7 linked regions of the Oryctolagus cuniculus genome follow. The protein of the gene in region 2 interacts with the protein of the main gene of each other region in a pairwise test. Links are inferred from orthologs where the notes say so. Each region holds a gene or a part of one and is shown on either strand. Other genes may lie near its edges.

Evidence for each region.
Region 1: the proteins of USP2 (region 2) and LHX4 interact in binary tests that used the Homo sapiens proteins (3 or more experiments, as listed by UniProt). The two-hybrid records come from large-scale screens. The link is inferred for Oryctolagus cuniculus from reciprocal best matches to the Homo sapiens genes USP2 and LHX4.
Region 3: the proteins of USP2 (region 2) and DTX3 interact in binary tests that used the Homo sapiens proteins (3 or more experiments, as listed by UniProt). The link is inferred for Oryctolagus cuniculus from reciprocal best matches to the Homo sapiens genes USP2 and DTX3.
Region 4: the proteins of USP2 (region 2) and NDEL1 interact in binary tests that used the Homo sapiens proteins (3 or more experiments, as listed by UniProt). The two-hybrid records come from large-scale screens. The link is inferred for Oryctolagus cuniculus from reciprocal best matches to the Homo sapiens genes USP2 and NDEL1.
Region 5: the proteins of USP2 (region 2) and NEFL interact in binary tests that used the Homo sapiens proteins (3 or more experiments, as listed by UniProt). The two-hybrid records come from large-scale screens. The link is inferred for Oryctolagus cuniculus from reciprocal best matches to the Homo sapiens genes USP2 and NEFL.
Region 6: the proteins of USP2 (region 2) and CCDC136 interact in binary tests that used the Homo sapiens proteins (3 or more experiments, as listed by UniProt). The two-hybrid records come from large-scale screens. The link is inferred for Oryctolagus cuniculus from reciprocal best matches to the Homo sapiens genes USP2 and CCDC136.
Region 7: the proteins of USP2 (region 2) and LZTS2 interact in binary tests that used the Homo sapiens proteins (3 or more experiments, as listed by UniProt). The two-hybrid records come from large-scale screens. The link is inferred for Oryctolagus cuniculus from reciprocal best matches to the Homo sapiens genes USP2 and LZTS2.

Annotation. Positions count from the first base shown.
Region 1 is NC_091438.1:8,347,032-8,351,146, reverse strand, and holds the start of LHX4 (LIM/homeobox protein Lhx4), read right to left. Parts: upstream 2,801-4,115; 5' UTR 2,530-2,800; coding exon 2,454-2,529; intron 1-2,453. UniProt on the Homo sapiens protein: May play a critical role in the development of respiratory control mechanisms and in the normal growth and maturation of the lung. Binds preferentially to methylated DNA.
Region 2 is NC_091432.1:110,949,461-110,952,960, reverse strand, and holds part of USP2 (ubiquitin carboxyl-terminal hydrolase 2), read right to left. Parts: exon of another isoform or gene 3,038-3,500; 5' UTR 2,997-3,037; coding exon 2,217-2,996; exon of another isoform or gene 1-2,216. UniProt on the Homo sapiens protein: Hydrolase that deubiquitinates polyubiquitinated target proteins such as MDM2, MDM4 and CCND1. Isoform 1 and isoform 4 possess both ubiquitin-specific peptidase and isopeptidase activities.
Region 3 is NC_091442.1:60,208,415-60,212,705, forward strand, and holds the start of DTX3 (probable E3 ubiquitin-protein ligase DTX3), read left to right. Parts: upstream 1-1,491; 5' UTR 1,492-1,605; intron 1,606-1,654; exon of another isoform or gene 1,655-2,038; 5' UTR 2,039-2,102; intron 2,103-3,380; exon of another isoform or gene 3,381-3,524; intron 3,525-3,640; 5' UTR 3,641-3,687; coding exon 3,688-3,716; intron 3,717-3,809; exon of another isoform or gene 3,810-4,015; coding exon of another isoform or gene 4,016-4,034; coding exon 4,035-4,291. UniProt on the Homo sapiens protein: Regulator of Notch signaling, a signaling pathway involved in cell-cell communications that regulates a broad spectrum of cell-fate determinations.
Region 4 is NC_091448.1:52,910,712-52,913,483, reverse strand, and holds the end of NDEL1 (nuclear distribution protein nudE-like 1), read right to left. Parts: intron 2,473-2,772; coding exon 2,373-2,472; 3' UTR 501-2,372; downstream 1-500. UniProt on the Homo sapiens protein: Required for organization of the cellular microtubule array and microtubule anchoring at the centrosome. May regulate microtubule organization at least in part by targeting the microtubule severing protein KATNA1 to the centrosome.
Region 5 is NC_091433.1:49,228,294-49,232,310, reverse strand, and holds the start of NEFL (neurofilament light polypeptide), read right to left. Parts: upstream 2,801-4,017; 5' UTR 2,665-2,800; coding exon 1,618-2,664; intron 669-1,617; coding exon 544-668; intron 101-543; coding exon 1-100. UniProt on the Homo sapiens protein: Neurofilaments usually contain three intermediate filament proteins: NEFL, NEFM, and NEFH which are involved in the maintenance of neuronal caliber.
Region 6 is NC_091434.1:164,988,472-164,992,691, reverse strand, and holds the start of CCDC136 (coiled-coil domain-containing protein 136), read right to left. Parts: upstream 2,801-4,220; 5' UTR 2,725-2,800; coding exon 2,667-2,724; intron 2,030-2,666; coding exon 1,922-2,029; intron 279-1,921; coding exon 30-278; intron 1-29. UniProt on the Homo sapiens protein: May play a role in acrosome formation in spermatogenesis and in fertilization.
Region 7 is NC_091446.1:28,872,964-28,877,226, forward strand, and holds the start of LZTS2 (leucine zipper putative tumor suppressor 2), read right to left. Parts: upstream 2,801-4,263; 5' UTR 2,556-2,800; intron 2,418-2,555; exon of another isoform or gene 1,693-2,417; 5' UTR 1,623-1,692; coding exon 1,572-1,622; intron 1-1,571. UniProt on the Homo sapiens protein: Negative regulator of katanin-mediated microtubule severing and release from the centrosome. Required for central spindle formation and the completion of cytokinesis.

The sequences.
Region 1 (4,115 bases), on a different chromosome or scaffold from region 2:
AGCCAGGTTGCTCCTGGGGTCACCCCCAGCCTCCTGCCGCTTGCCAGAGCTTGTCCGAGCCGAGCCGGGCAGGGGCCGGATGGGCGGCCCGGAGACTGTTGGCGCTTTGAGGACCACTCCGGGGCCGCATGACTTCTGCGTGGTGCGACCCTGCTACCCAGGGGTCCAGCAGCAGCAGAGGCGGGATGAAGTCGGAAGGAAGAGCGCAGGGGTGTGGGCCCAAGGGACATAAATTACGTTATTTGGCAACATTCTCCTGAAGTAAGACAGCAAAGGAATAGCCCCTGCTGCGGGAACAAGCTGGGTTTGAACTTCTAGAACGCCCCTGAAGGCGAGGGCGCCAGAGGTCCAGGGGAATCCCAAGACTTCTGCCCCAGGAGCTCCATTTGCCGGCTCAGGGAGACGAAGATGGGGAACCTGTGTGTGCTGGGCAGTGGGCGCCCCAGGCCCTCCAGCTAAGGGGCTGGACGGACTCCCAGAAGAGGGCCCATCTGTTATTCCCACTCCACATCCCGTTACCCCTCTTCCTCCCTGTACCCCCAGACCCCAGGGCCCTGTCCCAGGAGCAAGAGTGTTTGTGTATCTGTAGGGAAAGGGCCCAGCCCATTTATCCCCGGGTTCCTGGCCCTAGGAGCTTAGCCGCTGGCCGTTAAGCTAAAAGCGACAATCACATCCCAAAGTTCGGAGTGGGGGGGGCGGGTGGTAAAAAGTCCCTGAAACGGGGGGGGGGGGCTGTGTCTCCTCCCACAGCCGAAAGAACCCAGGCTAGACTGGCCGCCCCTCTTGGTTCTGCACTGCCTCCCTAGGCTACCCTGGGGTGATGCCTTTTTCTCCCTCATTAAGTTTGACACAGTTTCCACCCAGGCCCAGAGCCCCGGCGAGCGACAGCCCTGCAGGCGAGTTCTGGGCATTTTCGACAAGTGCGTTTCTGCCCTCGAACACCAAAGCTGTCTCCGAGTAAGAGACACTGAAGTGCGACCATCAGAGCGTCGGGCATCCCAGACCCGCAGAGCGGAGCCCAGGGACCTTCTCTGCAGCTCCAAGAGGCAGGCCACCTGCGGGCCACGACCGCTAGACACGAAGCCTTAGCCACGCACGGCCTCTCCAAAGCGCGCCGCAGTCCTACACTGGTTGGCACAGAAAGACAAATAATAACTGTAGGATGTGGTCGATCTAAATAAGATAAATAAAGTTCCTCTTTGTAGTACCTTCTCAAAAACTTCCCAGGGCACGCGTTCGCCAGCCCGTCCTTCGAGGCGTCGTCGAGACAGAAACCCTGCCGTGGAGAGCCAGGGCGCAGGAGGGCGCGCTCGTGCGCCCTGGTTCGTAGGTGGTCACCATTCCTTCGTGAGCCCGCTCTTACTTACACCCCAAGGACGTACTGCCCCACCAAAGGAGTTGCAGGAGTACAGCCCCCTGAGCCAGCCAACCGGTCTCTCCGCGGTGCCCAGGAACCAGAGAACAGTCGGTGTCCGCGGTGCCCAGGAGCGCCCTGCCAGACGCGCAAGGCACGCGGCAGGACTCTGGCTGTGCACGCCAGGCGCGCGCGCGCGCCAAGCTCTGGGACCTGTTCCGGCCCGGCACGGATTCTCCCTCGCGGAGTCTCCAGTAGTGAGGGACGGAGACAGATTCCCTCCGGGAAAATATCTGCGCGCGCGCACACCCCTCCATGCATAGAGACCTGGGGACACACCCGCCCGGAGCGCGCACCGCCTGGTTAATTTCGAGCGCGGGAGAGAAGCGGCCAGGCTGTCGAGACGCTCACACACACCCCAGTCTCTCCCCTCCAAACTCGAGCCGTGCTGAGCGGTCTGCGCCGGGGTTGACCCCCGAGTCCACAACTTCGGCCCGCGCTTCTCCCCCCTCCGCATTCCCCTCGCAGCTGGAATGTGATGAGCAGGTTCCCTCCCCAGGAGCAGTCGGTTCCCGAAGGTTCAAGCGGCGGGCGCCGCAGGCAGCAGCGGCTGGGGACGCACCAGGCGCGCACGCCCGGCGCGCTGGCCGCGGGGACGGAGCGTGCGGCCCGGGCTTCCGCGCCGCCGGCCCCGAGGGGCGTGGGACTGGCTCTTCAACTTCCCGCCGGCTGGGGTGAAGTTGCACACAGTGGTCCTGTGAGCCCAGAACATGGCCCCCCCGGGAAGACCACCCTTGCTCGCCCTGACGCCTGTGGCCTGCAGCTCACCCCGCTGAGGTCCCCAAACAGCACTCTCCTCCCGCGTTCCCAGAGAAACCAGGTATTGGAGGTGCGGTGCTCGCGCATCCTCGACCCGCCACGAGCGCTACCCAGGTGGCTTCCACATTCGACCCCAAGGAGCCAAGAGCCAGGCCCTTGGAACGCACCCTGGCCGCGGCCCCTGCCCTGCGGCCGCCTCTGCGCCCCAGCCCGCCCGCCCCGCAGAGGCTGCCCGCGGTCCAAGGACCGAGTCCGGCGGGCGCGGAAGGGGGTGTCTTACGTTGCATCGGCACAGCGAGCATCTCCGGGAGCCCCTTGACGGCCCCCTCCGCGGGGACAGCCGCGCTCTGCATCATCTCGGAGCGAGAGCCAGCCAGGCGCAGTCCACGGAGATCTCGCTCGCTCGCTCGCTCTTGGCTGGACTCAGAGATTGGAAAATAATAAAAAGCCCGAGCAGGCCGCGGAAGTCACGGTGGCCGCCGGGCCCTCGGCCTCTCGGGGAGGACTCCACAGGCTGGCCGGCCCCTCCCCCCGGCCGTGCTCGGTCTGGTTCGGACGCCTTTGATCTCGCTCTCCGGGGTTGGTGCACATCCCGGGTAGAGGAGACGCTGTTGCTGCGGCTCTGGCTTTTCTCCCCTCCTCCTCCTCCTCCTCCTCCTCCCCCCGCCCGCCCGCGCCCCCTCCCCCTCCACCCTTCGCGTGCCGGCCGCCGGGAGGCCGCGGTCACCCGGGCATTTTGATTCATTCACACTGCAGGAGCGGCCGTGACGTCGCTTTCCGCAGGGAGGCCCGCCCTGCAGCCAAGTTGCCCCCACCCGGCGGCGGGCAGCCGACCCCGGCCGGAGTGGGGGCCCCCGGCGCCCCAAGTGAGCGGGCCGCGCCGGGGGCGGGGCCGAGCGGAGTGGGGCGGGGCTTCGCGGCACCCTCCCCGCGGCCCGCGTGCGGGCTCGCGCCCCGGGCATAAATACTGCGGCCAGCGGGGCCGCGGCAGCAGGTGGTCCGGGCGGGCCGGTTTCCGCGCGGCCTCCCCCGGGGAGAGGGGTGGTTCCCGGCCCAACACCCGCGTGCTACCCGCCCCCTGCTCGGAACCAGGCCGGGGAAGACCCTCCGCGGGCCAGGAACGCGTGGCCGTCTCCCCCTCGCGCGCTCGCGGTCCCCCGGCTTCTCTCCGCCGCCGGACTGGGCGCGCTCCGTCACCGGATGACTCCATCCGTCCTCCTCCTCCTCATCTCTGGCCAACTCCTCTCTGGCCGGCACTTCCCAGTCCCTGCTCTCTCTCCCCCGCGTCTGGCTGAGGCTGGGCCAGGGACAGCCCGTACTCGGCCCAGAACGCGCGAGTCACGGCGCGGGCGGCGGCCGGGGCAGCGCGCGGTGGTGGCGGGGCGCGGTCCTCCCCCGCGCGCCCCTGCCCGCCGCGGGGACTCTGAATTTCCCTTTCGGCCCAGTTGGGACCCCGCGTCCCCCTCGGCAGTGGGGCCTCCCCGGACGCCCGGGGGGTGTCGGCCCAGCTCCGCCTCGCCGGCTGCAGGCGCGGGCGCCTTAGCCAATCCCAGCCCTCGTGCGCGCAGGACGGCGGCGGGCGCGCAGCCCCCGGGGCTCCCCGGCCCGCCGGGGCGCTGGGCTGCTTCTCGTGGGCGCCTTCTCCGGACTCCCATAAATACAAGGCGTGCGTGGAAACGCGTAAAACATAGGCTGCCCAGCGCGAGTTTTCGGCGGAAGTACATCAGAGGGCCTAAGGCTGGAGCCTCGGAGACTCGGGGAAGCCCACCCTTCCTGCCTGGAGACCCGGCCCCTCTAGGGGTCTCCGCGCCCGCGACACTCCCACCCCGAATTTCGTTCCAGGGATGAAGACAGCCGCATTCTCCCAGCCTCGTGGTGCCTAGCTGGCACGGGAAGAGGGGCTGTGCGCCCTCCTCAGCCTTCCAGAGAGCCCCGTCCTCTT
Region 2 (3,500 bases):
GACTTGGAATTGCTTAAGCACTTGTTTCTCCCAAATGAAAAGCAAGTGCTCTCAGGCCAGGGCTGAGGCGCCTGCATCACTTGCCTCCCAGAACACCTGGAAGGCGCGAGGAGGACTTCACGCTTCCTGAGCGCCTACTACGTGCCAGGCAGTCTCACGCACAGCCAGCACCTTCCCGTCCCTTGCAGTCACTGCGGAAGCGGGAGCTGTAAGTGCTCCCATCACAGATTCAGAAGTTCAGGGACCCGAGCTCGCCCTGCCAGTCAGCTGAGCCTTGCACACGAGTGAGTGAGATGGCAAGGTCCCCAAGGGAGATTCTGAAAAGAAACCGGACCAGGTGTTCAGACAGAAGTGGTCTAGGCCCCACGGGCAGGATTTGTTCAGGGCTCAGCAAGTGCAGGAAGCTCCAGGAAGTGAGGGCGGGAGGGACAAGGGGAAATAAAGCCTTATCCCACAGGCCCCTGAGCTCAGGATGAGACGCCAGTTCCCCTGCAGGTACTCCCAGCTGCCTGTGTGTGCTGTGGGTGCTTCTGGATGGGAGAGGCCACGTTAGGGTGCAGAGTTTGCCCCAGTCTCTGCCACTGTCCTCTCTCACAGCTCCCCGACCCTGGTGCTGGAACTGGGGCCGTGCAGCAAATTCCAGGGAGGGTTGGGATGCGCCTGTTGGGGAAGGGGCCTGACACCCCCTGCCCTGTAGAGAGAGGTCCTCTGAGGATTTGGTGCGAAGGGCAGTGCCCAAGCCCCATCCCAACATGGCCCTGGGCCAGCCCACAAGCCCAGCAGGTGATTTTGATGCAGGCAGGCTGCAGACCCAGCTTTGGGTCTCTGAGCAAAGGGAGGGAGCCCCACGGAGCTTCCCGGACCCCAGCTCCTCCCGCAAGAGCCATTCTGAACAACATCTCCCAAGCACGGCACACAGCCCTGTGAGAAAACGTGCTCCTTCCCAGACCAGCCCAGGTGGGTCACGTCTGTTCTCCAGCTCCTTTCTATGCTGGCTCTCAGTGCAGCCAGCCCTGCCCCATCGGGGTCTCACTGCTCTGGGGTGCACCAGCTTCGTGTCTCATGGCACTTCACAGATGGCCTAGCCAGGCCAAGACTCACTAAGTAGTTATCAAAGGTGTCTTCTCCAGCCCTTTAATTAAGACAAGAGTCACGGCCAGTAACCCAACGCCCGACCCTAGTCCTGGACCCTTGCTGTATTTGCCCGGCTAAGTCCTCCAGGCAGTATTTCTTGGGGGTGGCATAGCTGTTCTTTCCAACAAGCCTCATATCCCTGGACTAGGGAAGGGGCAATGGAGGAGACATAACACCCAATCCTCCTGCACCCGTGCTTGCTGTCTGTCCTTCCATTCGTCCATCCACACGTCCACCTGTCCACCCACCCATCCGCCCATGCAGTCAGAGGCCAGCTAAGCCCCTTGCGGTGCCAGGCACATGGCGAGGAATTTCCACATAGGATTTCTCTCCCACCCTCTGAGAGCATGCTCCCAACGGGCACACCACAAACACAGAGGGTGGAATGTGGTCAGTGACTCAAGAGAGGGGTCAGATGTCCGAGAGGCCAGGCCAGCCTTTGGTCCCTACCCAGCAGAGCCACTGCCCTCTCTCCAGCCGAGGGGTTGGGTTGTCTCAGGCCCCAGACAAAACGTTCTCTGCTATTTTCTCTGAACTGCTGTCCAGACACCCTGGTCCTGAACCCACCAACGTGGGTGGGCGGAGACTCCCGCTTCCCCTGATATCTTATACTCAGATGCAGGGCCTGAGCAGGGGGAGGGAGGCAACCAGGACGGGGAAGCTCCTCTTGCCACAAGGAGCACTGGTGGTCTTGGGACCCCAGCATTCAGCCCAGGATGGGGCAGCGTCTGCAGGAAACAGGAATTGGGTGGAAAAGGAGAGGGTGAGAACGGCAGCGTGTGTGTGTGTGTGTGTGTGTGTGTGTGAGAGAGAGAGAGAGAGAGAGGGGAGAGAGAGAGAGATGGGGGCAGCTGACAGTTCCATGAGCACTGCTGACCGCCCGCGAACGCTGGGAAAGGCCCTCCCCTTGGCGCTGAGCACGGATGCAGTACGCGTGCCAGTATGACTTCTCTGCCTTCGCCTCCACCAGGCCCCACTGCCATCACACCAGTCAGGATGGCAGTCCTGCCCCCAACCCAGCTCTTCTCCACCACTGGCTGGCTGTCTCCCAACCTGTCCCTGGGTCCCCAGGGTGCACTTACCATGGTGTCTCGCCCTGGGGAGCTGGAGCGGCTGGACCCCGGGGCCTGGCCCTTGCTCTTTTCCCACAGTGTGTAGCGGCCACTGGGTCGGTAGGTGGGACTGAGGACTTCGGGGACGCCTCGTGAGGGAGGGGCCTGGGTGAGCACCTGGGGTGCGCTGCCCTTGCGACCGTAGTTCTCCAGATAGTCCACCAGGTACTCGGGGCGGCTGGCTGCCTGGTAGAGCCCCTGCAGGGCACAGAGCTCCTTGCGCGTGCGGGCCAGCATGGGGCTGCGGCCCAGGTTCCCAGGGTCGATCCGGTAGCTGTCTGAGGTCCGGAGGCTGGAGAAATCCCGGGCCAGGTCTGATTGGCTGTTCGACTTCTTCTGGGCCAGGGTCAGCCCCTGGTCACAGGCATTCATGGGCAGGTAGCTGAGGGAGCTGCTGGTTACTCCATACGAGCATCCACTGCCGCCGCTGAGCCCACTGCCTAAAGGCCGCTCGGTGCCCCGGGTCTGGCTCTCTGCCCGCTTACTACCCCGAATGATGTCGGGTCTCAGCAGGGGGCGGCCCCTGTCAAAATCCAGGATGGAGGAGGGGCCGTAGATCCCAGGACGGGTGAGGAAGCTGGTGGAGGGGCTCGGCTTGAAGCCGAGCTTTTCCTTCTCCAGGAAGGAGGTGGCCAGGTTGGCCCCATAGGAGGATGGGGTGTAGGTGCCATAGCCCGGTTTGCCGTAAGGGGCATCTGTGTAGCGGGTCGATTCTGTGTAGCGCTTCAGGGTGGAGGAGAGCTGGGACATCCTTCAGGGCGGCGCTCAGTGGGGACTGGGAGCCTCATGGGCTGAAAGACAAGGGAAGCAGGGGTCAGCTCCCCATGGCACCTGCTGGGCCCGCAGCCTTAGAGCTCAACACAAGAGGCTTCCCAGCTGCCCCCCGGGGAATGGGCGCGCACCTGCCATGCGCCTGTGCCGTCCCAAGAGACCAGCTGGCTCTTACACGCCTCCCGGGGAAGCGGGTTTAGTGCATATTGGCTATTCCGCGTGCCCCCCTCGAAGACCCGGACAGGCACGCAGGGACTGCCCACCTCCACAGTCCTCTGAGCTACGTGTGGCTTCCAGACCAGACCCCATCCCTGACCCCCTGGACATGTCGCCAGCTGAGATGGCACCCTCTTTTCTGACTCAGGTGGCAAGCAGGCACCCTTTTGGTGTCAGACTGTCCGCGGCAAGGACCGGAGAGCAGGACTGGCAGGCAGGGGAGGCCGAGGGGGCTGGAACCCGGCCTCCACACCCCAGTCCAGAGCC
Region 3 (4,291 bases), on a different chromosome or scaffold from region 2:
CCCAGAGAGGAGTCAGAGCCATAGCTCCGTCACCCAGCCTCTGCAGAGAGGAGTTGAGGCGTGATAGTCTCAGGACGTGGAGGACTGTGAGACAGAGTGTCCTCCCCTCTCCCAGTGCCTTTGAAGCCAGAGCACCTGTGCTCAGGTTGTCCTCCAGCCCCTTGGAGCTTCCCACATTTAAACTTTCTTTTTTCTAATTTGAGAGAGACAGATAAGAGTTCCCATCCACTAGTTCGTGTCCCCCGATGCCCACAGTAGCTAGGACTGAGGGCTGAATCTGGGAGCCGGGAACTCAGTCCAGGTCTCCCATTTGAGTGGCAGGAACCCAATCACTTGAGCCATCACCGTGGCCTCCCAGGGTCTGCATCAGGAGCTGGAGGCGGGTGTGGAACCCGGGCACTCGTGTTGGACCCCACAGTTAACGGAAAGGTGGATGCAAGCAGCTGCCCTTGGGGCTGCAGGGCTGCTCTTCTCTGTGTCTGGCTGGGACTGATCGGTTTCACGAGAGGTCATGAGGTCATAGGGAGAAGCCCTGGCTCCCCTTAATCTCCTCCAAAAGGAAGTAGCAAGAGGAGTCCCCAGCTGGGGGTTGGAACCTCTCTAATGCTTTCCCATCAGGGCCCTGATGGACCGTTTCCATTCCAGCCTGCTACCTTTTCCCTGTCGAATGCAATAAAACTCTGTGACACCAGCAACCATTGTCCTTTAGAAGTGGTGTTCTGGCCATGTGGCTGATGTATCATGGGCAGTATGGTCTTCATTTGTTGCTTCTGTTTTTCCTCTTTTTTGTTTTATTAATAAAAAGGTCTTGTGTATTTACTCCCATTACTACTACAATACAGAAAATAAATTATTCAATTCCTTTACATTATTGCCTTTTCTAAAAAAAAAAAAAACTTTGAGAAAGCCTGTACTTAGGGGTACTTCTGGCCTTCGAGGTGTGTTGGGCCCCCACTAGGCACTGGTTTTTAGGCAGAAGGCTGTGAATTCAACAGCTAGTGATGGGTGTGCACGGGAGTGGGAAACTAAATCACCTCTGGGAATGGGGCGTGGGGGGGTGACCCTCCCTCTCTGAGGCCTTCCTAGCACCAGTCTCTGGAAAGGTGAGTAGGCCTGTCCAGCAGCGAGCAGCTAAAGGCAGAGGAACCCAGTGTTCCCCCAGGGTGCACCCCCTGAAGGGCAGGCAGAGTAGCACGGGGGCCTGGGAAAGTGAAGGGTGGGGGAGTAGGGGCTGTTGCCAGTCTGGGAGAGTGAGTGTAGCTTGGCCCACGGCCTTGCTGGTGGAAAAACCTGGCTTGATGTGGCCCCTGGGAAGTGAGCTGGGTGGGGGCGGAGACTGCCTGACGTGGGAAGCAGAACAGAGCTGGCTTTTTTTTTTTCCTTTCTGAGTTTTTAACTCTATTAGAACCATACACTTGACACCAGCACCACCCCCAGTGATTTGAAAAACAAAACAGTGTATTCACTTGCTCATTCTGCACCAGCCTCGCTACCCCAGTCTTGGAAGGGGAAGGATCAGGCAGTCCCCTTGTGTGAGCGCAGGTGGTGGGGGTCCCAGGTGATCTGGGAAGAGGCCAGGGGCGAGGGAGGGCCCCGGAGCCGCTGGTAAGGAGACGCTTCTGTTTTAGAATCAGTGCGTTGCTTTTCACTGTGCCCCTTCCCATCCCGCCTCGTTCCTCCCAAGTCCCTTCCCGCACAAGGATTCGCAAACCCTGCCCCTCCAGCCCCCGCCCCCCGAAGCTGCCACGCAGCTGGCTGGGAAAGGAGAGGAGGGGCGCGAGGAGGGTGGCGTCTCCGAGGGATTTAACCTCCTACCCTCACTTACATGACGCCACCCCTCCCTCCCAAGCCTGGGACTGCGCCTCCATTTTTGTTTTGGGGCGGAAGGGCAGGGGCTCCCGCATAGCAGGGGTCAAGGGAAGCGGTAATCATCACCTGTGAGGGGAGAGGGGGTGCTGTCCTCCCTCTTCCTCAGTCTCTCACTGCACCCCTGCAGCCCCCCCAACCCTCTCAGGGTCTCCCCCCCCTTGTTGCTAAGGCCCGGACCGTCATCCCAGCAACAGCCTCAGTCATGTGACCGGCAATGGCGGCGCTGACGAGAGGTAGGTGAGCCCGGCGCCCCCCACACCCACTGCGCGCCCCCCGGCCCCCGCTCGCGGCCCCCTCACGCCCCCCCACCTCCTCTGGCATCCCCTACCCCCACGCACCGCGCCGGGGCCCCCCTCGGTGCCCGGCCCTTCATCTCTCTGATCCTCCGGCCCCGGCCTCCAGGCCTCCGTCTGGGGGTTCTGAGGGCCGCGATCAGGCCACCGTACACCACCCAGCTGGTGGTGAGGCTGTGGGGGCTTGGGCGAGTAGGGGAAGTGGGGAGTTGGGTCCAGGTCGGGACCTGGAGGGGGTCGTGGGGGGAGGGGTGGAGCTGCCACAGTGGATGCCCCGAGGGACCCTTGCCCTTCCGGGCTGTCCCTGCCTCCACCCTCTATCTGGAGGCCAGAACTGGGCCCGAGTCCGGCCAGGGCTGCCCCAGAGGAATCACAGACCCAGCCTAAGCGGTGGCCCCGCCTCCCTCTTCTGTGCCAGCAGGACTTGGAGCTAGGACACTTAGGTCCTAGGGGTCTCCCCCCCCCCCCCCCACGTCGGGAAGGGGATGCTCCATCAGGGGCAAGCACTGGGGGCTCTAAGATCCAGTGTCACTTTCTGAATCCGAGGTCCATCTGGCCTTGAGCAGACTACGATGGAGGCACAAAGGGACAGCTGCTCCTTTTTGGATCAGATAAGAAATTGAGGTCACATGGCCCCTCTTTCTAGTTGACAAGCTGCATTTGGAGGTGTTGTGAGGACAGCCCAGTGACTGAATCTGACAGGGCTCAGGGACACCTCTGACCCCTCCAGCTGTGCCCCTGAGCCCTGCCCCTCCCTAAATGCAGACCGGGGAGCTGGCAAGCAGCCCCGCGGGCATGCTGGGTCTCAAAGGTGACGGTGAGAACTTTGTTACTGCAGGGCCGCTGCCACTTTCTGCACCCCTAACTTCAGCTCACCGGCTTCAGGGCAGAGTTCTTTGAGAAAGTGGGAGCAGGACAAGGAGTTGGGGAGCACAGGGCAATTTCTTGTCTATGTGATCTGAGGGAGGTGATAAGAAAGCTCCACTGATGTGGGCTTCTGCTGTGTTGACTTATCTTACTTGGACCCTGGGCTTTTTGGGGAGCCCCAGAGCTGGAGCCGGGAAGAGGAAGGTTAACAGGTCACAGTGCCTCTTGCAACCTCGGGGGAGGCTGGGAATGGCATTCTGCAGGGGAGGAGAGTACCTGGGAGAAGTTTTGTTTCTGGGCTGCCAGGGAGAGAGAGAACATTTGCCATGGTAACTGTTAACCCTCCCCCAGCCCTGGTCAGCTGAGTGTGGATATAGAGGGGCTTCTGCTGCCGTCATCTTCCATGGGCTTTCCAGGTACTTGCCCCTTGTGGGAACCTCAGCTTCCACCCAGACATGGATCTCCTCCCTCCCGTGTCCCAAGTAACCCTATTCGGTAATCTACACTCAGAGACACACTCCTGCCTCTGTTTCAGGCTGCTGGGTTGGGACCTGTGGGAATTGGCAGAAGGGGTTTCTTACTTTTTCTCCTCTTCCTCCCCACCCTACCAGGTGATACAACCCACAAGTAGGGAGCAGGAAAGAGAGAGTGAGCCTGCATGCCAATTCTAAGCTCTTCAGGATCAAAGTGAGCAAAGGAGAGGGGGGCATCAAAACTCCCCAGAGGGCAGAGGGACACATTGTTTCTGTGTAGCGGGAGAATGGAAAGAAACAGCCAGACTGATGTTTCCATCATAACAAAGTTATGGAAACTCTTGCCTTCAGTGGGTGCTGGGGTTCAATGGAAGGTAGAGCTGGGGGAGGGGCTGGGGGCTCAGCTTTGAGAGCATAGGGGTCATGTGGGCTTTGGCAGGAGCCTGATGTAGGAGGCACTGGCACCTGTCCATGGGGACCCCCCACCCTGAGTCCCTTTCACCCTGGGGGCAGTGTCGTTCGTCCTGTCCAGAATGGCAGCCTGTGGAGGCACCTGCAAGAACAAAGTGACTGTCTCCAAGCCTGTGTGGGACTTCCTGAGCAAGGAGACCCCAGCCCGGCTGGCCCGGCTTCGGGAGGAGCACCGCGTGTCCATCCTCATAGATGGCGAGACTTCTGACATCTACGTTCTCCAGCTCTCCCCGCAGGGCCCGCCCCCCGCCCCTCCCAATGGGCTCTACCTGGCCCGCAAGGCTCTCAAGGGGCTGCTGAAGGAGGCAGAGAAAGAGC
Region 4 (2,772 bases), on a different chromosome or scaffold from region 2:
CACCTACACAGCCCCAAAGAAATCAGCTTGCTTGACAAAAATAGGAAAGCAACACATAAGGAACTAAATAAAAATCATGGAGAAAAAAAAAGAATGTCTTTGAGAGAATAAGTGACTGCACTGCACGTGAAATGTGCCCTTCAGCTGGGTGACACAGAGGCGTGTCCACGCCGGGGGCAGGAGGCAGATGCACAGTCCACACGGCAGAACTGGCAGAAGGGATCCCAGACGGGCTCCCAGAGCACCTCTGAAGCCCACAGAGCAGACACCTACATGAGGGACGCTATTGTGCGTGGTGGGGCTTCGTCGCCCCTGAAGGTCCTCATGAGGACTGGGCAGGTGGGGTGCACATACGTACACCCACACACAAGCCCACTCTGATGAACTCCTTCCCCCAGACAAGCCTCCCTCAGGTCTGTGGGCAACACCAGTAAGCTATAGTGACAGTGCTACACACAGACTCAGGAGGGAGGGATGGGACAGGCCGGTCCCAATGCCAAGGGCTTGTTAAAATGGACCCTTCTAAGAGGACTGGCTTTTTTCTTTTTTTAACCTGCCACATTTAGTAATGGATCTGGGAACCTTCCTTTTGCAGCTGGAACACACCACCTTCGTTTTCATCTAGTCAGTAGGTCAGCAGGAAGAAAGGCTAGAGGTAAGAGCGAAGCAAGCCAGAAGGAAGCCAGAATCAAGGCAAAGCAGCAAGAAAGCGAAGACACAGCAAAACCCTCAAAGGAGTTATCTCAGGATTACAGCAACGAGGCCAAGATAACTCAAGTAGCAGGAGGTTAATACTTCAGCGTGCAGAAAACCCATTTATCACATCATCTAAGCACTCGAGCAAAGGCCAGCCTACAAAAGCACTTTGAATTTTTAATAAGAAATGGTATAATATAAAATTTGTACAATTTAAAACCAAAACGAAGCAATGTCTGTTGCAGGTGTACAGTTTCAGGTGCAGTGCAAGGAAAAAAGCTTCTATGCCTACATCTAGGCCACTCCTCAGGGGACAGGTCCAGTCAGAGTGTGCAGGGCTGACACCGAATCCTCTACTGCTCCCCAAGAGTGGGTGCGGCTCTGGGCAGTGCCTGCCCTAGTGCCCTGCAACAGGAGCCAACTGAAGGCAGGAGCAGTGAGCCGGCAGGGACAGTGTTACTCCTCCCTCACTGTGACTGCCCTGAGGGCCTTCCAGAGCAAAGGCAGACGCCACGCAGCCCAGTGCCGGCCAAGCCTGTTCTCATGTCTGAAGGTGCCCGACACCCACCAAGAAATACGACTCCAGAGAAAGCCTAATAACTAGTCTACTGGAGGTAATCACCAGTTGCAGGAAAAAATAATTAGCCATTATTTCCAACACTCATGAAGACTACACAAACCTTCTCCATGCCATTTGGGGGAAATGACTACTGTAATGTACAAATTATCTATGCACTCATTTACCATTAGGGAGTAAAAATGGGGCACGCCTTAGGCATCTGGCTGAAACAGCTACACCTGGAGAAAATGAACTGTATACTTACCCCAGCTGAGGAACCCCAATGGTTAGAACTAAGTTCTAGTTTACGGGCATTTTGGAATGTGCTTTTAACAGTGTCCTTAGTGAAATGCATACATTTTGGGGTAGAATGCTCTTAGGGGACAGAGATAAACCAGAACACTCCATTAAAGGATGTACAGTTAGACCCTTTTCAGAATAGACTGTGTGTCACATCACTCTCTCTACAAATGGGTCATAATTATCAAGGACAACAGAACATAGAAGCCCCTTTGAGAAACTGTGAAAATGTTCAGAATTGAGCCAACACTGCTTTCACACAAAAACAAGAAAGAATTGTTGGGACTGGCACTGTGGCACAGCAGGTAAAGCTGCCACCTGCAACATGGGCATCCCATATGGGCACTGGTTCAAATCTCAGCTGCTCCACTTTCAATTAGTTACCTGCTAATGGCCTGGGAAAGCAGCAAAGGATGGCCCAAGTGCTTGCGTCCAGAAGCAGCTCTGGGTCTCTCTGTGGGAGACCCAGAAGAAGCTCCTGGCTCCCACTTTGGCCTTGCCCGGCCCAGCCCAGTCTAGCCATCTGGGTAATGAACCGGCGAGTGCAAGATCCTTCTCTCTGTAGCTCTTTCAATGCAGTAAATAAAAGAAAGAATTGCCTCGGCAACTCAGAGCAGAGACCATGGCAAAGGACCCTGGGTACCTCTGCTGTGTTCCGGTAACCACCAAGTTAGACCACTAAGTCAGCATCCACATACCCTAACTAGCCCCTGCATTAAGGCATGCCTGTACAAGAGCATAATCACACAGTGCCTGGGAATAAAGAACACTGAGGTGGAACCACGTGCACTGACACAGGAAACAGAGGCAGCCTAAGTCACCACAGCCACGCTGCAGCGCCGACAGGTAAAGTGTGATCCCCAGAGTGTGCTGGCGACAAGCTGACAGCAGATGCAGCAAAGTAGGATTCTGCATGCCTAGGAATAACCGTATGGAACGTGAAAATAATATAAAAGCAGTTATTTTTTATTTCATATACTTCCATGCCAATGGAAATTTTTTGCATTAAGAAAATATCACTGTTTTAATCTTAAGACTTTAAATTTCAAAGCCCAAAAAGCGTCTTCACTGTATGCAGAAGCTGTACCTCCTACACTCTGTGTGATCCAGGGTCTAGACAGCTCAGGGCTTTGTGTTCCAAGACGCTCACGCAAGCTCGTTGTTGCGTTTGCTGCACCTCCATAGTTACGAGATCACCCCTAAAGACGACTGGCTAA
Region 5 (4,017 bases), on a different chromosome or scaffold from region 2:
GGCAGACCGGCCGAAGACCTGGGAGCTCTGGGAGTAGCCACTTGTTATGCTGCCCACACTGGTGAAACTCAGTCGGGTCTCCTCACCTTCCAAGAGTTTTCTGGGGAGACCAACAGAGGGTAGGGTTAAAATTAAAACAACCTAGGAAGTGTATTTAATGACTTGCTCTAAGCCCACCTCTCATCTGTTCTCCCAATGCCATCCTACAGGCAAATGCAAACAAGAGAGGGCTGGGAATTACCAATATCCAATGGCTAGGAATTTTATGAATGAGACTGGGGGTGGGGGGATACAGAATAAAGTACGTTAAATAGTTCTATTAGATTTTAAGTGTAATGAGAAGCTAAAAACAGGACTTAATATTACAGGGTAAAGTTCTTTGATATTTGTCTAAACACTTGCTCCTTCGAAGAAGCAAACTAATCATAATAATATCTCATTTCAGAGGGCTATTGCAGAAGGCTTCTGGTTCAACATGATCTAAATGGCATCTGATTTTCTTCCAAGGCTTTCTGGCTACTACCTTTGCCCTTCTGTTGTTACCTGTAAGCTGCAATCTCAATATCCAAAGCCATCTTCACATTGAGGAGGTCTTGGTATTCTTTTAGGTATCGTGCCATTTCACTCTTTGTGGTTCTCAATTCATTTTCTAGTTTGTTGATCGTGTCCTGTTGGAAGACAGAAAAAGAAGAAAATCTAAGCATCAATTCCTACTGCTATCATTTTACTGTAGCTCAGTTACAAACACTCAGTTTCAGTTAGAGTCGAGGGGCACACCTTTAATAAAAATCTCCCCTAAAACAGCTGCTCACTCTTTTTTGAAAATATTTCTCGCCTAAAATATCCAGCTTCATGAAGCATGAGAAGAAAAAAAAAAAACTAAAGAAAGAACATTCCTTTAAGACAATATCCTCAACTAGTACAATCTAAGGAGCATCAGAATATGCCTGCATGGAAACTAACTTGACAGAAAAGGCTGGATTCTCATTTATGGGTTAACTCCACTTTAGCCAGGTCACAATCCAGAAAATTCATCCATTTCTTCATAAGAGAAGGAAGTAGCTAAATTGCTTATACTTTCTCTAAAATATTTCCTATATTTCTGCTCCCCAGCTAGTTACCCAAGACAAATCTGTCTGGGTTCCTGTCCACCTGCTAAGGGGAGGAGTAGCTGGTACTTAACCAGTCATAAAATATACTGGCCACAGTAACCTTTCGGGACTAATTAAGACTTACTCGCTATGGTTATTAACCAGGTGATCCCACTGGTGTTGCAAAGTAACTTCAGGTGAATGCAGGTAGGTAGATGGCCCGACATCCCTGCAGGCCAGGGCAACGCCCTACTCCCACCTCTCCCCCGCCCCCGCCTGACCCCTCCCACGCTGGGCAGCTTCAATGCGGAACTCAGACTCCACTGCACCACTCACACACCCAGACTGCAGTAGCGGCCCCGCCCCACCCAAGGGCCCCGCCCCTCCCACACCGTCCCCTGGGAGCACAGTGCGACCCCTACCAGCCCTGGTCTCCACTTTTTGGGCGCAGCTTCAACTCTCCCCCTGCCCCGACCCCCGCATTCTGCAGGTCCCCGCCCCCGCCGTGTTTCGCACCAGGCCGCACCTGCATAGCACTGATGTCGGCGTTCTGCTTGTCTTCCAGCTCCTGCAGCTGCTTCTCCAGCGCTTCGTTCATGCCCCGGCATGCTTCGATCTCCAGGGTCTTGGCCTTGAGCAGGCGGCGGCTCTCGGACACCTCGTCCTTGGCTGCGCGCACGGCGTCGGTGTTCTTGGCGGCGCTCTCGGTCAGCACGGTGAAGCGGCTCTTGAACCACTCTTCGGCGTTCTGCATGTTCTTGGCGGCCAGCTTCTCGTACTGTGCACGGATGTCCTTGAGGGCGGCGGAGAGGTCGGGCTTGGAGGACACGTCCATCTCCACGGAGATCTGAGCGTACTGGATCTGCGCCTGCAGCTCGGCGATCTCCTCTTCGTGCACTTTCTTCAGAAAGGCGATTTCGTCCATCAGGCTGTCGATGCGCTTCTCCAGCTCAGCGCGAGCGAGTGCCGCCTCGTCAGCGCCTTTGCGCGCCTCCATCAGCCTGCCTTCGGCGTCCTCCCGGCTCAGCACCTCTTCCTCATAGCGCGCCTGCAGGTTGCGAAGGGTCTCCTCCAGCCCTTCGCGCTCGCCCTGGAGCGCCTGCTTCTCGTTGGTGGCGTCTTCGGCAGCCAGGCGCAGGTCGCGGATCTCCTGCTCGTACAGCGCCCGGAAGCGGGACGGCTCCGAGTGCTTCTGGCGCAGCACCAGCAGCTCGGCTTCCAGGACCTTGTTCTGCTGCTCCAGCTCGTGCACGCGCTCGATGAAGCTAGCGAAGCGGTCGTTCAGGTCCTGCAGCTGCGCCTTCTCCTGCGTGCGGATCGACTTGAGGTCGTTGCTGATGGCGGCTACCTGGCTCAGGTCGAGGTTTTCCAGGCTGGGCATCAAGGAGCCGGAGCTGGAGGAGTAGCTGCGGCGCACGGACAGCGAGGAGGAGACCGGTGCCGAGTAGCTGGAGTAAGCGGAGCGCGCGGTGCTGTAGCCGCTGCGCACGCTGGAGATGTGCACCCGGGGCGTCTCCACGTAGCGCCGCTTGTAGGAGGTCGAGTAGTACGGCTCGTAGCTGAACGAACTCATGGTGGCGGCCGGTGCCCCTCTGGCCCGCGGCCGGAGATGGGGCCTGGAGAGAGAAAGAAGGACGGGGGAGAGAGGGAAAGGAGAGGATGGATGGCTGTGTGCGGCTCGGCGCCGTCCTGCCACCCCTATTTATACGCCGCGAGGCTTCTGACGCAGCCTGCGATCGATCCCGGCGCGCCGGCCAGTGGGGGCAGCGCGCTGCTGCAGCCAAGGGGAGGATTCTGCGCAAAACGGAGGGCGGGGGCGGCGGCGCGGGGCCGCTGAGCTGCGGCTCTTCTCCTTTGCACTTTTCTCTGAGGCCCTTTCTGTTCTCTGAGACCCTATATCCCCGCACCTGTGTCCTGTCCTTTCCCACCCAGCCAGCCGCAGCCTGCTTACCCCGGGACCCACGTATCACTCAGATGCTCAAGTATCCCCAGCCATTGGTTCTCGCCGCCCACTGACAACTTAGTTTTCCATAACCCGGTACCTCTCGGAGACCCTGGCCCGCAGCCCACCGCTTCCCACCAGGGACCTCTTTGATCACCCCTCTTCCCCACTTAGTGTTTATGGCGACGGTGCAGTGTCGCTAGTGGTTTGAGAGGAGAATAGGCTGTGGTTGCACGTATGCGGCATTTAGCGAGGAAAGTTTCGCGTTTCTTTGCAGTTTTTCTGGCACTTTCTTTAATTAATCTACCTTTCTCCTGGGCCCCCTGACCCCCGGAGTTGGTGGGCTGCTTCTCAGCCCACAGGGTTCTGCCCCCCTACCTACACACGTGCGCGATTGCGGCGTGCATTGCAGGTGTTACCTTTTATCATTTCTAAAGCTGTAGGGCACTGCCTCTGGCTTCCTAAATTTTCTTCTTTGTGGGGAAGAAAGCCTTGGAGGCTTTCGGTGTGTTGACGACGCGGGTAGACGGAGGGAAGCAGAGGAAGAGTGACGCTACCAAGGAGAAGACCCGCTTGCTAGGCGGCGGCTCGCTCTACGGCGGGCAACTGACTTCAGGCTGCCTGGCTGGAACTTCCCCGAGCTAAATCCCTGCTTCGTGGACTTGACACTACCGACTCCCTCCTATTAAAAGCCCCCTTGCCCGCTTTGTACACCTGTGTAACACCCAACCTGATGATTTCGAAAGGCCATGCAGGTGGCTGATTTTCATAGGGAAGCTGCGGCGGCCAGCCTCAGGCGTCGGGTGTGGTCTCCGGAGAGAACTCCTGGAGCTTGCAGCCAAAGCAGCCGCGTGATTCCTCCGTCGGGTCGCTATGTTAGGTAGATTAGAAAGGCAGTCAGAAATCTATGGGTTTCTTATGGAAAGCACCCGGATACCTGAAACAATGTGCACGCCTTACAGCACGTGGATACGCCTTTCCACA
Region 6 (4,220 bases), on a different chromosome or scaffold from region 2:
AGGCCCCCCGGCCCGCGGCAGGCGCTCACCCTGCAGCTCCAGGGAGTCGTCCTCATGCTGCCCGACCAGCTCCCGCGTCTCCTCCAGCTCGGCCACCAGCTGCAGCACCTGGGCTCTCAGCTCGTCCAGCTCAGTCTCGGTGAGGCTCAGGCCCCGGTGCTTGCTCAGGGACAAGGAGCCTCCGCTGCCAGCCTTCTGCATGTGCTCAGCTTCTTCTTCTTCCACCTCCTCCTCCTCCTCCTCTTCCTCCTCATAGAGAGCTGGCAGTAACACCTCTCCTGGGAGAGACGCCCAGCCCAGAAGAGAGTCAGTGCCAGCCTCCTGTGCGTGGCCCTTCCAGAGGGCAGAGCGGCGTAACAGTGCCGCCCGGTGTGCCCAGGAGTCCCCTGGATGCCTGATGAGCCCTAGGTGTTAGGGGCAGGTCAGGAGGCCACCTCGCCCTCCCCTCCCCCAGATCCTCCTGGCCCAACGGCACGCTTGGTGGCCTCTGCCTCCAACCTGTGGGCAAACAGTCTCCTGGCTCAGCCCGGGGAACCACACATGCACACCCAAGTCTTTTCTAGTGTGTTCTCTGGGGAGAGGGCTGAATGGTCAGGAGATTCGGACACCAGGCATGCCTTTAGGCCAATCAGGGCCAGAGTTACAGTTTGAGGATTTGTAGAAAGTTTTTTTTTTTTAAATTATTCAGGTGGCTTAGTGTAAAATTAGCCTTTCCATAATAAGCAAACATTGCCCGTCAGTAGGTAGAGAAAGAAAACATGTGAATGAAATGATTCTAAATTCACTGGACAAACGCGGGGGCCCTTTCAAACGCATTCTGTCAAACAGCTGTTTGGAATTTTCTGCAAGCTCCCCTTGCTTGGCCCTGCTGGGGCTGGCTGTCACGGGGCCTCCCCTCCCCACCTGAGCAGGGTGAGGCCCCTCCTCCCTTGGCCCTCCTGGCTGTCACAGGGCCTCCCCTCCCCACCTGAGCAGGGTGAGGCCCCTCTTCCCTTGATAACCCCTCTTGCCCCTGGAGTTTTCAGGGCAAGTCTTAGCTTGCACCTGTGTGTAAAAGTGAGCCTGCCACTGTAATGTGTTTCAAAGGAAAAAAATAATAATAATAATAATAGCAACAGGGGGGGGTTAGGTGCTGGTCCCCAGCCCCTGGTTGGCGAGCAGCCCCTCTTTCACTGCAATGCAGTTCCTGGAAATAGCAAAATCTTGTCTGAACGGTGATTGTCTGCTTTGTCTTCAAATGCAGAGGCTCTGCTCTTACTTCCTCTTAGCAGCAGCCTAAGGCTCAGCTGGGACCCCTGTGTCACCTGCCCCTCTTAAGGGGACCAGGGTGGCCCACACCGAATAGGCGGAGGGGCCTGGGGACTCCTCCCAGGGAGTCCCGGCACCTGGACCAGCCGTGTTCTTCCAGGGGCCCGGCGTTGGCTGCGGTGCCCAGTCACACGGGTGGGGTGGGCACCCACGTGCGTCGGAGGGGACGGCCTCACCTGCCCTTCCTGGCCTGGCTCTTCCAGGCGACCAGAGCCCGGAGGACCGCAGCTGCGAGACTTTGCTTTGAAGTGCATGGCGGTGCCCATGCCCTTGCCTTTTTTAAAAACCAGAGACAGCTTGGGATCTGGGTCGCAGGCGGGGAGAACGAACCCCCCACTGAAAGACTGCTTCAAAGCTCTGTCCACAGAGGCCTGGTTCTCTGTCTGGCAGCTCCCCAGGGGCACGCAACCTGGTTAGCTGTGCCATCGGGGCCCCAAAGGGATGCACCTTGAACTTTCCTCAGAGCGCCCTGGGGAGGACTGGAGTTCCCACCCAAAGGAGGAGGGGCCTGAGGGAAACAGAGGTCAGGGCTGTGGCACGGGCTCGGAGCTCTGGGGTCACAGGGAGGGAGGAGAAGGGACCGGAAAGAAAGATGCCCTTTTGGGAAACTCACCCTCCATAGCTTGCATCCCTCGCCGCTCCAGGGACCCCCAGCGCTGGCCCTTCTTCCTCTCACAGCCCTCGGACACCTCATAGGAGCCTAAAGTGGTTACTGTGGGTCCTGTGAGCAGGGAGACAGGAAGCCATGTGGGGGGCAGGGGAAGAGAGGGGACGGACGTGCCTTCCAGGCCGGTGGGGCCCTGGGATCTGCAATCCCAGCGGAGGCGCCTGCCAGCTCAGCTCTGCGACTCCCCTCCCTCAGCCTCCCCCGCGGGGACCCCAGCCCAGCTGGGGTCCTGGTCTAGGCAGAAGGAGGGCGGGCGTATGTTCAGAAGAGGGGACCGAGAGGAGAGGGGCTGGGACGCAAGGAAGAGCAGCAGCCAGGAAGGGGGAGCGGCCGTGCGACTGCAAAGCGGCGACAGAGGCGCACGAAGGGGTCTGGGCGGGGACGCCCCCTACCCGCCCCGCCCCGCCCCTCCCGTCACACCTCGCCGGGCGCCCAGGAGCCTTTAGGACTGGAGGGGCTGCAGCGGCTGGAGCCCCCGCGAGCTGGAGGGGCAAGAGGGGAGGGCCCCCGGGGAGGATGTGGCCGCTGTACCGGAAAGATGGAGACCGGGCCCGGGACGCGCGGGGACGGAGGGAGGAAGGCTGAGGGCGGAGGGGTGGGCAGCGGAGGAGCAGGGATGCCCGGGGTCTGCAGGCAGGCGCGCAGGAGCGGAGGCAGGAGGGGCGGTGAGGGGAGGGAGGACGGCTCTGACCTGGGCCCGGGCAGCTCCAGCCCGCGGCTCCCGCGCCGGCCCCGGCGCCCGCCTCCATGGCCGCTCCCGCCGCTGCCGCCGCCTCCCCGAGCCGAAGCCGCAGCCGCCGGGCCGGGACCCGAATGGGCGCGCGGGGAGGAGAGAGGGCGGACCGAGGGGCGGGGCCTGGCCAGGCCTCCCGCTGCTGCCGCCGCCGCCGCCTCCCGGAAGCCCTCCCTGCGCGCTCTCTGCGAAGGTGAGCGCGCCTCGGCACGCCTCGGGTCTTGCCCTCCGACACGAGCTGCCCCGACAAGGAGCGGCCACATCCATCTGCTGTGGTGGCAGGGACGCCTCTGCGGCCGGTGTCGGGGCCCGGTCCTGCCCAATGACTGCGGAGGAAGGGCAAGGTGCCCATCCCCGCAGCGCGGTGACCCCCTCCAAGCGCCTTCGTGGGGGAAGCCAGGCCGGGACATGAGCACTGCGGGGCCTGAGCCCTCCGTGTTCCCTGGACGCCCACCCAGCCACAGCCCCGGGCCCGAAGACCCCTTCACCGTCCCGCTCTGTCTCCCTCCGGCCCACACCCAGTGGCTGCAAACCACGCCCCCGCCGAAGTCTGCCATGGTCACTCCAGTGGAAGGGAGCAGTGGGGTCCCAAAGGGCTTCTTATTCAACCGTCCACGCATTCAGGGAGTGGCTGCGGGCGCTGGATTGCCGAGGCAGTTGTCACCTCTCAGAAACGTGGGAGATCCCTAAACCCGAGGCGCACAGACCCCTTCTCTTGCATATCCGCCGCCAGGTTGGGGGGGGCACCTAGAAGGGCTGTCTGCCTTCATTCACCCCTGCGCCTCCTCCTCCCGGATTCCCAGGCCCTACACGTGGAAGGCCTCATCTGCTCCCCAGGGGATGCCCTCTCTGGGCTCTGCGCCTCCCAGCATGGTGGTGGGGGGCGAGGATCCTGTGTGCCCAGCTTCTTGAAGGTTGGGAAGTATCTTAGACCTTGTGTCTCCAGCATCGGTCAGAGTACCTGAGGCACAGAAGGCGCGTGTACAAGTCAAGCACAGGTAATGCTGTCTTAGCAGTGAGCAGAGGGCGACATCCTGTGCAGTCCACGGTGCCCATTAGCAAGAACGTTGCCTGCAAGTCCCTTACTCCCCAGCCCCTCTCCTGTCCCCTTGGCTCGGTCCCCCCCCCCCCCCCCGCAGCCTGAGGCGCTGAGAAATGGTGAACACAGGTCGGGGGTGTTTCCTGCACTTGCTCCAGACCTTGCGGCCAGAAGAGCCCAGTGAGCGGGAAATAGCAGCTCTGCTGAAGCCGGGGGTGTGGGGAGTCGTCGGGACGCTTGGAAGGGGCTGGCACGGGGGGCTTGGGGAGCGTGGAGCTCTGGGGACCCACATCCAAGAGGCTGTTCTTTCCGCCCCAGCACAGCCAGCCTCTCTGGTTCTGTCTCCACCAGTAGGGTCAGGCTCTCGCCACGGCCTTGACGGCTGACCACTTGGTGGACAAAGGGAGAGACAGAGGAGGAAGCTGTCATTCTCCCTGGCAGCTCTGATCCTCAGAGCTAGAACGAGTCTCTCC
Region 7 (4,263 bases), on a different chromosome or scaffold from region 2:
AGCTCTCTGCTGTGGCCTGGGAGTGCAGTGGAGGATGGCCCAAGTGCTTGGGCCCTGCACCCCATGGGAGACCAGGAGAAGCACCTGGCTCCTGCCTTCGGATAGGCGCAGTGCGCCGGCCGTGGTGGCCATTGGAGGGTAAACCAACGGCAAGGGAAGACCTTTCTCTCTGTCTCTCTCTCACTGTCCACTCTGCCTGTCAAAACAAAACAAAACAAAAAGAATCCCAGCATCCTATACCCTCTCCCTATACAAGGCCTTGAGTCCCTGTGCTGTCCCCTGATCCAGGCCAAACGCCTTCCTGACATGAGTAACAACGCCCTGACCCCCCCCCCCCCCCAAGGCTCCTCTTCCAAGTACTGGCACGAATCTCATTTCTCTCTGGGCCCCAGACCACTGCTCCCTGGTCTGCACAGGGCCACCAGGCAGAGATGAAGGGATCGGAAGCCTGCACAGGGCCACCTGGCAGTGGAGGCCCAGACCCAGACCTGCAGCCCCACGGAGACCAGGACTCAGGTTAGGCAAGAAGCCCTCTCTCCCAGCACCTGGCCCAGGTCCCCAGTCTCCTGGGACAGGTGGCCTCGTTACAGGGCAGTTTGGGCAGCGACAACCTCAAGGACACCACCAGCAACTCAGACAATAATTAGGGAACAAAGAGCCAAGGCCAAGCAGCGCCCCACCTCCCCCTATTGGGCCTCAGTTTCTCCCAGACAGAGAGGCGGCAAGGGTGGAGCTGGCCAAACAGGCAGTCCACAGCTCTCAGGGCACACACACCTGCCTCCTGGAGGTGATGCAGGCACTTGCTTGTTTCTATGACAACCCCTACCCTCTCCATACCCAGTCAGGGTGTGACATGGGGCCTAAAGGAGCCTTCATGGGCGCTGCCCGACTCCAACCTCTATCAGAAGCTTCCAGCTTCCGCCATCTCCAGAGAAACCCCGATGGAGGCGGAAGCCCCACCATCACTTCTGGCAGCTGCTCCAAGACCTCACCACCTCCCCGGGCTCTGCTCCTTCCTGGAAGGGGAGAGCAAGCCTCCCTGGGGAACTCCCTCCGGTCCCGAGGCCGCAGAGCACCAGGGCTCTGGCATCTGCCGAAATCATCATGCAGAACGTGCAGGCCAAGGAGGCGGACAGAAAACTTCCTGGGAGTAGGAATGTGTGCGTGTACAGGTCTTCATGGCCGCCTTTATGCCCAGGGGCAGCAGAGTGAGCACTGCGTGCCAGGAATAATGCGTGTGAAAACATGAGTGTGTGTTTGGACATGTTCAATACATACACCCGTCTAGGTGTGAACTAACGTGTGAACCTCACACGTATGCGTGTGTAATTAAGGGTCACCATGCAAGTACGCAGGAGTAGTAAATGCACAGGTAACAGGTGAGTGTGCTGAGATGCTGAAGAGGAACCCAGGACATGGGTTCCCCCCCGCGAACTCCTGTGTGTGCACAGCAGGCCGGCCAGAGCCGGGTTACCCACAGAGAAGGCTCTGAGGGCAGGCATGTCGGGCACCGGGGAGTGCGAGGGAACCCGCCAGTTTTCACTCTGGAGTGTGGGGAGAGGGGGAACCACCTTTGTCCGAGCTGTTCCCCTTCTTTCTTGCTTGTGTTCCATCGAGTTCATCCCTTTCCTCTCTACCCAAGTGAAAAGACACCAAGAACCAGGTCGGTGTCAGTCCAGACTGCCGGAGGAGCTGCTGGGAGCAATGGTGGGCCTGGCTGCAGGGCTGGGGCCTGACAGCACCCCAAGCTCCAGCCCTGGGCAACGCGGGCACCCGGGAGCCTCCTCCTCCCTCTGCAGGGCCACGTAAGGCACGGACAGGACGGGGGAAGGGGCTGCTAAGGGGGCCATGCGGGCTGGCATTTCTGTCCGCATTTCTCCTCTTCAGGGAGCACAGAGAAAAGTGAAAACTGAAGGAAGGCGATGGGCCCACTCGGAGAAAGAGCCAAAGGCCGAGACAAAGGCTCAGGGAGGCGCGGGGGTCAGGCGGCCAAGGAAGCCAGGCAGGCCGGCCCATGGCGCCAGGCCCCGGAACCGCAAGAGGCCAAGGCCCCCCAGACCCAGAGCGACGAAAGCCGGCCAGCCAGGCCCAGCCAGTAGGACTCCCGCTCTCAGAGCCCGACTGAGAAGGAGGGGCAAGCCGAGGCTCCATTTTGAGAAATGCGCCGTGGCTGTGGGCAAAGGGAACCCCTCGCTCTCCCGAGTAATCGCCGCGGTGGGCAGGACGGAGGGCTGAGGGCTGGGGCTCAGCCAGGGCCAGCGACGGCTCTGGCCGCGCTCCGAGCTCGCGCAGACCTGTTTTGGGGGCTGAGGAGTTCGGGAAAGTCGCCCTCCCACCTCAACTCCAAGAACAGTCACGCAGGCTCAAGTCTGGGATCCGAGTTCCCATTCCGAGGCAGGAAGCCGGGACCCCTCCCCCCGCCCACCCCCACTCAGCCGACGACCCCCCCCCCCCACCAGCACGGCGGCCGCCGAACGCCGCCTCCCCTCCCGACGCCGCCGCACAGAAGTTGGGGGCGACCCCGGGTCTCCTCCCGGCCCCGGCCTCCCCCTCACCTCCGCCGCGCTGCTCCATGCTCAGCCCCGGGCCGCCCCAAGCGCTCCACAGGCGCGCCGCCCGGCTCCGGCCCGCGCGCGGCCACTCGGAGCGGCCCGACCCGGCCGGGCCCCGCCTCCGCCTCGGCGGCGCACCCGGCCCGGGCCAGTCCCCTCCCGGCCCGAGTGGGCGGCGCGGCGCGGGGCGGCGCGGGGGAGGGGTCCGAGGGGCGTCCCCGCCCCGGGGCGCGGACACGCGCAGGCACCCCACGTCACGCGTGTCTGCTGGGGCGCACGCAGGGGCTGCGCGGCGGCGAGCGGGACCCCTCCCGCCGAGTCTCGGTGACTGCGTGTCGGACGGCTCGGTCGGCTGTGGATTCGGCGGGCGGGTCACCCCCTACCAGAGCCGGGCCCCGGGGCCAGCGGCAGCTGGTCATTGTTCGAGCACAAAGGGCCAAGGCGCGGCGCGGCGGCCCCTCCCCCTCGCTTCTCTAATCGAAGCCCGCCCCAGACACTCTCCAGCTTCAGAGTCCAGAGCGGGAAGCCGAGGGTCAGCTGCCCGCCGCTCCTCGGCTGCCGGGGCCCTGCGCCCCAGCACTAGTCGGGGGCCGCGGCCAGGTCCCTGCCTGGCCCACCCCACAGCGGGCTGGAGGCGGTACACGAGGATCTGCGGAGGCGGCGCCACCTGGCGGTCGGTTCTCAGAGCACATCTACTCGCCCCCCGACCCAGGGGGGTCTTCTCCCACTCCACAGCCCGTGCCCGTGGACGCCAGCCCAGGCCTGCCCTTGGCGCGGCTCTGGACTCCCCAACTTTCCCTTGGAGTCGCTGGCTAAGAGAAGGGTCATTGCCCGGGGAAGGGCGGCTTCTGGCCTCCCCAGTGGAAAGGCACAGCCCAAGCCTACACCAGCTTCCCACCAGACAACATTCCACGGTCTCCTCAGGGTCACGCATATGCTCACCCTCTTGGAAACAACATCTTAACACCCACACGACCTTTCCCACATTCAGTCTCGGGCAGCCGCAATCGCAGAGCTTCATCCGTCACGTGGTCCCCCAGGCCTCCTTCCATGCACTCCCAGGCCAGCTCCCGCGCAGCCCCGCGTCACACCGGTTGTGCATTAAGTCTTTCACAACAACTCGCAGGCCCTCGCACCTCCCAGCATCTTTCACATGCTGACAGCCTCGCAGTACTCACAAACAGCTTCTCATACTGCACACCGTGTTTTGCATGCACTCTATCACACAGACCTTTCCTTAGGGGTCTCTGTGACCTGGCCAGGTCAGCTGATGCCCGCTGGCCTTGGCGAGGACGGCCTCCCTCGCCCAGACGGCAGCCCTCCCCCGCAGGGCCAAGGCCAGCCAGAGCTGGGCTCTGCCCCAGGAAGGAGCATCCCCCCCTTCCAGGCCACAGCCCTGGCCGGCGCTCAGCTCTATTTTTAGCTCGATGGGTTGTTTTTCTTTCTTTTTCCCTGGAAAGGGAAACATAGCCCAGCCAACCTCAGGCTCACCCCAGACCCTCAGCTTCGCAAAAACAGACTGAGCCCCTTCCCCAGTGGAGAGCCCCTTCCTCTGGTCGTGCCCTGATCCCGGCCTCCTGGGGCACTCAGAGCCGCCTCCCCTTGCTGGCAGCGCGCCCGGAGGCTCAGGCAGCAGCTGGGATCAGCATGGTGGAGTGCTGGGGGGTGGGGCCGGGGAGCGAGGCACCAGCCCGGCTCCCTTGGCTCCTGG